2 linked regions of the Oryctolagus cuniculus genome follow. The protein of the gene in region 1 purifies or fractionates together with the protein of each later gene. This does not show direct contact. Links are inferred from orthologs where the notes say so. Each region holds a gene or a part of one and is shown on either strand. Other genes may lie near its edges. The genes, in order: VPS45 and RBSN.

The links.
Region 2: the proteins of VPS45 (region 1) and RBSN purify together in Homo sapiens (affinity purification with mass spectrometry; 4 studies listed by BioGRID and IntAct, counting the BioPlex papers as one, with this or other methods). This does not show direct contact. The link is inferred for Oryctolagus cuniculus from reciprocal best matches to the Homo sapiens genes VPS45 and RBSN.

What each region holds. Positions count from the first base shown.
Region 1 is NC_091438.1:47,880,787-47,884,602, reverse strand, and holds part of VPS45 (vacuolar protein sorting-associated protein 45), read left to right. Parts: intron 1-23; coding exon 24-103; intron 104-2,111; coding exon 2,112-2,180; intron 2,181-2,296; coding exon 2,297-2,434; intron 2,435-3,816. UniProt on the Homo sapiens protein: May play a role in vesicle-mediated protein trafficking from the Golgi stack through the trans-Golgi network.
Region 2 is NC_091441.1:113,914,886-113,918,322, reverse strand, and holds the end of RBSN (rabenosyn-5), read left to right. Parts: coding exon 1-364; 3' UTR 365-2,838; downstream 2,839-3,437. UniProt on the Homo sapiens protein: Rab4/Rab5 effector protein acting in early endocytic membrane fusion and membrane trafficking of recycling endosomes. Required for endosome fusion either homotypically or with clathrin coated vesicles.

The sequences.
Region 1 (3,816 bases):
ATCATGACTCATATCTGTTTCAGATTTCAGTAATGTGATCAGCAAGAGTGATGTGAAGTCATTGGCTGAAGCTGATGAACAGGAGGTTGTGGCTGAGGTTCAGGTAAATATATTGGCCCTTTTAAAATATTTGAGTCTTAAACATCAAGATGGGATTGGCATTGTGGCTAGCGGCACAGGCATCACATATAGGGACTGGTTTGAGTTCCGGCTGCTCTACTTCCAATCCAGCTCCCACTAATGCACCTGGGGAAGCAGCAGAAGCTGGTCCAAGTGCTTGGGCCCCTGTACCCACATGGGAGATCCACAGGAAGCTCCTGGTTCCTGGCTTTGGCTTGGTCCAGCCCTGGCCATCACAGCCATCTGGAGAGTGAACCAGTAGATGGAAGATCTCTCTCTCTCTGTCTACTTCTCTCTCTGTAATTCTGCCTTCAAATAAATAAATAAATCTTTAAAAAAAAAATAAAAAGGTGGTGCTGGTCTCAAAAGAAGGAAGGCTATTGTTCAGACAAAATAAATTGCATTGTACAACATATATTTAGTAAGTTTGGAAGAGATCAAAGTGGATAAGAATAGAATTAAAGGAATGGGTGAGAATAAGGAGAGTGGGCTGATACAATGACCTATTTGGAATCAAATCCCTCATGAAATACATTGTACAGTAAAATTATTTTTTATCTGAGCATAACATTGTGTATCAGTAGGTCGGGTTTCACAGGTTTGAAGACAGAGTCAGATATTGCTGTAGCTTAGTTTTATAAGCTGTGGTCATCAACAGAAATACAAGTATGTCTGCTTGGGAGAGAATGGGGTTTCTAAAGTTCTGTTGTAACTATCCTGTTCTGAAGATAATAGGCAGACTTTTGTTGTTAGGTGAAAATTTGGAAACTAAACATTTATTCTGCATGCTGTATAATCACATTAGAACATAATATGTTAACTTTGCCTTCTTTTTTTTTTTTAAACAGGCAGAGTGGATAGTGAGAGAGAGAGAGAGAGAGACAGAGAGAAAGGTCTTCTTTTTTTGCCGTTGGTTCACCCTCCAATGGCCGCCACAGCTGGCGCGCTGTGGGCAGCGCACCGCACTGATCCGAAGGCAGGAACCAGGTGCTTCTCCTGGTATTCCGTGGGGTGCAGGGCCCAAGCACTTGGGCCATCCTCCACTGCACTCCCAGGCCACAGCAGAGAGCTGGCCTGGAAGAGGGGCAACCAGGAAAGAATCCGGCGCCCCAACCGGGACTAGAACCCGGTGTGCCGGCACCACTAGGTGGAGGATTAACCTATTGAGCCGCGGCGCTGACCTACTTTGCGTCCTTAAACACTTTAGTGTTCTTGGATATATTTATCACAAATATTTGAATAACTTCTGTCACCTTGGTGAAAACAGTGTCTTCTAAGGTGGCAAATAAACTAGTTTACAATTTTTCAGGATGATATACCAGGTAATAAATGAGTAAAAAGAATGACCTAGTTTAAATCACATTCTCCCTCATGAAATACATTCTACAGCAAAGTTAATTTTTACATAAAATTGTAAATCTTATTGCAGTGTTTAATTTTTACTAATTGATAAATATACATAGAATTCTTTGGAAATACCATGTGCCCACTTCTACAAGTTTGTTTGTTTGTTTGTTTGAAGACTTATTTGTTTATTTGAAAAGCAGTTACAGAGAAGGAAAGGAAGAGACAGAGAGAGAACAATCTTCCATCTGCTGGTTCTTTTCCCAAATGGCCACAATGGCCAGTGCTAGGCCAGAGTGAAGCCAGGAGCCTAGAATTCCATCTGGTCTTCCACTTAGGTGGCAGGGGCCCAAGCACTTGGGCCATCATCTGCTGCTTTCTCAGGTGCATTAGCAGGGAGCTGGATTGGAAGAGGAACAGCCAGGATTCTAACCGGCACTCAAGATGCCAGTGTGACAGGCATGGCTTAACCTGCTACACCACAGCACTGACCCTTGTTAATTATTAATTGAACAATTTTTGTATGTTTTTTATATTTGTATTTCATCATATTTGATTATATTGTACAGTATTGTATCATCTATGAATATATTACTGCTTGATAAAGTAGAGTTCATGAAATAACTTATCTTGTGCTTTATTTGCAGGAGTTTTATGGTGACTACATTGCTGTGAATCCACATTTGTTTTCCCTCAATATTTTGGGTTGCTGTCAGGTATGGAAAGAAAGAATTAATAGATAATTTATCAGTGGGGAGTGAATTCTGCAGGTAATTGGACTTAAAAGAGAAAATTCAAATATTTTCTCTAAATATTTATTTTCAACAAAAAGGGAAGAAATTGGGATCCAGTTCAGCTCTCCAGAACAACTCAAGGACTGACTGCTCTCCTTTTATCTCTGAAGAAGTGCCCCATGATTCGTTATCAGCTTTCATCAGAGGCTGCAAAGAGACTAGCAGAATGTGTTAAGGTATGGCCTTTCCTGTCCCTAGTTCTCTAAAATCAGTGCCATTCATTTCCCTGAAATACTTCAGAAACTAAAGGAATATTTTATCTGCAACCAAGGAGATAATAATGTGTTATTTTTATTGGGAAAGAGGTAGATATATATAAAAATAAAACGACTATACAGTAGAGATAAGATTCTTTATTTTCTATTTATTTATTTTAAAGGCAGAGTTACAGAAAGGCAATGGCAGAGAGAGAGAATGAGAGAGAGAGAGAGAGAGGTCTTCCATCCACTGGGTCACTCCCCAAATGACTGCAATGGCCAGAGCCCAGCCGATCTGAAGCCAGGAGCCAGGAGCTCCTTCCCAATGTTCTGCGTGGGTGCAGGGGCCCAAGAAGTTGAGCCATCTTCTGCTGCTTTCCCAGGCATATTAGCAGGTTGCTGGATCAGAAGCGGAGCAGCCAGACTCAAAATGGCACCCATATGGGATGCCAGCACTGAAGGCGGTAGCGCTATGCCACAGCGCCAGCCCCAAGATTCTTAGTTGTTGTTGTTGGTTTTTTTTTTTTTTTTTGAGATTTATTTATTTATTTGAAAGGCAGAGTTACAGAGATGCAGAGGCAGAGAGAGATAGAGAGAGAGAGAAGAGAGAGAGGTCTTCCGTCCGCTAGTTTACTTCCCAAATGGCCGCAACAGCTGGACCTGGGCCAATCCAAAGCCAGGAGCCTGGAGCTTCTTCCAGGTCTCCCATGCAGGTGCAGGGGCCCAAGGACTTGAGCCATCTTCTACTGCTTTCCCAGGCCATAGCAGAGAAGCAGAGAGCTGGATTGGAAGTGCAGCAGCCGGGATTCAAACCATTGCCCATATGGGATGCCAGCACTGCAAGTGGCAGCTTTACCCACTACACCCCAAGATTTCTTAGTTTTTTTGTTTGTTTGGTTGGTTGGTTGGTTTTTTTTTTTTTTTTTTACAGGTAGAGTGGACAGTGAGAGAGAGAGAGACAGAGAGAAAGGTCTTCCTTTGCCATTGGTTCACCCTCCAATGGCCGCCGCAGCCGGCACGCTGCGGCTGGCACACCGCGCTGATCCGAAGGCAGAAGCCAGGTGCTTCTCCTGGTCTCCCATGGGGTGCAGGGCCCAAGCACCTGGGGCATCCTCCACTGCACTCCCGGGCCACAGCAGAGAGCTGGCCTGGAAGAGGGGCAACCGGGACAGAATCCGGCACCCAGACCGGGACTAGAACCCGGTGTGCCAGCGCCACAAGGCAGAGGATTAGCCTATTGAGCCGCGGTGCTGGGCATTTTTTTTTTTTTACAAGGATTTCTTAGTTTTAACCCAAGACCCTTACAGTGTTTTTTGTTACAGTTAAACTGCCTGTAAACTAAGGTTTAAAATCTTAACTTC
Region 2 (3,437 bases), on another chromosome or scaffold:
TCCCTTTGAGGAAGAGGAGGAAGAAGTCGTGGCAGGGAATCCCTTCACAAGCCCAGATTCGCCTGCGCCCAACCCCTTTGAGGAGGAGGAGGAGTCTCCCCACCTGAGGCCCTCCAGCCCGCCTGTCCCTGGCAACCCCTTTGAGGAGCCTGCCGGTCCCAACCCCTTCGAGGTGGACAGCGACAGCGGAGCCGAGGCCGAGGAGCCCATAGAGGAGGAGCTCCTGCTCCAGCAGATCGACAACATCAAGGCCTACATCTTCGATGCCAAGCAGTGCGGCCGCCTGGACGAGGTGGAGGTCCTGGCGGAGAACCTGCGCGAGCTGAAGCGCACCCTGGCCAGGCAGAAAGGCGGCCCCGACTGAGCAGCCGTGGGAGGGGCCTGGCAGCGGAAAGGCAGGTGGGATTGGTGGGATGGAGGCAGGGCAGGAGTCCAGATGCACAGTCTGCTGTCTTGTGCTGTGCACTTTGAGGCATTTCCACTACAGATGAATAATAAAATGGGATCCAGAACGGGAAGAATCAGCATTGATGTGCTGCTTTTTCCTGTTTTTTTTTTTTTTTTTTTAATTGGAGGTTTTCCCCTTTCAAAGGGACTTCATATTCTCACTACCCAGGTGAAACCGTTGGGCCCAGGGCATGTACCTCCTGGGTCCCTTTGCTGCTGCCAGGTTGGGTCATTCTGCAGTGTTAGAGAGCAGCTTTTCCTAGGCCCACCCTGAGCCGAGATGGGCAGGATGGAGTCCCTTAACTACTCTGCTCTGGCCCCGTGGAAGTCAGTCTCTTGCGGGCCATGGGTTCTGTTTCACCCAGGCCTGTGCAGCAGAGGGGAGAGGGGCTGCGGTGAGGGCAAGAGTCCAGATCCAGGAGAGCCCAGCACCTCTTTGCAGTGTCTTGCAGGATCTGTTTGCCTCTCTGTGTAAGTTCCTGTTTGTCTCTTTCAGAAAGTTAAGCTCCCAGTGCAGGGGCAGCAAGGTGGATTTGAGCATGATCTTTTCAGAAAATGGGCATGGCTAATGTTCTGGTTGATTTTAGTATTTGGGAAAAGAATTTCTATATATCATGGCTCTGATGGAAATTGTCCATCCCCAGAGAAACCTCTCTGCAGAGTTTTGGCAGAACTACTCTGCTGAGGGCCTCTTTGGAGCGGCCAGTGTGTAATGTAGGATTGGGGTCAGGAAGCCTCCCGGAGTCACAGGATAAACCACAGGCCAAAGCCGCTCCATCAGCCTTCTTCCTTCGGAATCATCCCGTCCTGACCTGGGCGCTGGTGAGATCTGTTCCTACCCACACGGACATCTGTGAAGAGGCCCAGCCCAGGATCCTGGCGCTGGCTCTGCAGTGCTTCACCTCTGCACCAGGCAAGGGGAGAAAGGGAATGGACCAACTGAGCCCTGGTGCTTCGGTTTCCAGGACCCTCATGAACCCTTCACTGACCTCTGACCTCTGACGTCATGACACCCGGGTGTGCTTGGCTCTGGGCAGGGTTTCTGCAGTTACAGTTGCTAATTAATGAACAACAGCTGACCACTCGTCACTTTATACCCTCAGCTAACTCTGGACCATCCTTAGGTTACTGATGTGAGAGTTAATTCATTTCATTCTGGAGAAGATCCTACTGAAGTGGGAGTGGGAATGGCTGAATTCTCTGGGAGTAAAAATCTGTGTCGGCGCTAGTGATATTTCTTTTGCATTTTCTGGGTCTTTTTCTTTGGAGATGTGGAAATAGGGAAGGGTGGGTGTGTGTGTGGAGGACCCATTGCCTCTGGGTTCTGTTCACAAACAAAAGGAAAATGAATAGTTATGCATGTAAGCCGCTGGCCAGCCCTTGTTGGTTGCTGCGGTGGCTTTGGGAAGCAGGGGAACAGGTAGCTAAGGCAGTGGTAGGGGTCTCCCCTCTCCCTTGAGGCCATGCCCTTCCTGCTGTTGCTCCCCGACTGGAGAGAAGGCGGCTCTGCGCCGGAAACGAGGCAGTTCCGGGAGCTGAATGCCGCTCTCCGTCATACTTTGCTGTGAGAACGCGGCTCAAGTAGCTGGTGATTTCAGCTGAGACTAATCCACTAAATGTAGCCTTTCCTGAAATCACCTGCAGGAATCATGTAAGTAATTAACAGCATCGGGGGAAACACAAGAAACCTTGGTAAAAGCTGTCTTGAAAACCCGACTTACTGACGGTAGTAAACCAAACTAAAATCCCTGTGCTCTCATTGTTTTTCCCCATGGCTGTGTTCGTATGTGAATGTGAACATGACAGGAGTTAAAATTCTCCACCCCTTGGCTGTGCCAATTCTCAGAATTCATGCAGGCACATGGTTGACAGCAGGGAAAAGCTGGCCTGTGTGTCGTAACCACAACGTCAGGTTTTACCTCATCTGACTGCACTCTTGCTTCATCTCATCGTCCATGAGCAGGTTCTTGATGTGGCGTTGGCAGACCCCCAGGCACTGACACGGTCATATATGGAAGAGACTTCGGGGACTCCGGCATCCAATGAAGTTCTTCATGCCTTTTCCCTTTCATACCTCGTCTGGATCCCCCCGCCCCGGGTCTAATACACTAAGGACACTTACTCACTGTACTCGCAGCTCAATGTATCTTTGCTGTTCAGTTCCTACAATGTACCGGAGTCATCCTGAGCCATGCGGTGTGTGGCCGTTGGCGTGCTTAGGTGATGGGACTCAGAATGAGAAGCGGGTCTGCAGCAGCTCAGACTGGAGCAGCAGGTTGTGCTGGTCACCTGACAGTGACTGTCAGTCTGAGGGTCGTTGATTTGCATGCACTACTCTGAGGCCTTGTATTGGAGCTTTTTTAAAAAAATAAAATAACACATGATACTGGTTGAGTGTGTGCGCACATGTGTTCCAAGTGACAGCATCAGAAGATAGGCCTGGTTCCTGAGTCTTGTCTGATTAAGGCCCCCAAAGTCAAGGTCCCTGGAGCAAACCAGGGATAAGTATGGGTTCCAGGTCTGTCCTTACCTCGTTACTCCAGCAGAGTGGGTCCAATGCGTGATAGAGCACAAGCATAGAGCACAAGCCCTTCATAATCCTCTTACCCCTGTCAGCCCGGAGGAAACAGGCTCGGTGACGTGGGGGACCCCGACTGCCATTTGTGCCAGGCTCAGCACTGCTGCAGGCGTGGGGGCTGGCACAGTGGCTGCCTGTGATGCCATCCCATGTGGGCACTAGTTTGAGTCTTGGCTGCTCCACTTCTGATTTAGTCCCTTGCTCATGGTCTGGGAAAAGCAGCAAAAAATGGCCCAAGTGTTTGGGTCCCTGCTACACACTGGGGAGACCAGCAGAGGCTCCTGGCTTTGGCCTGGCCCAGCTCAGGTTAAAGAAGTTATCCTGGCCTGGGTCACACAGTGGAGAATGCGTATTGAAACCCAGGTGTGTCTGATTTGCTTTGTTCTCAGTAGCTAGGAGAGTTTGTGCTTGG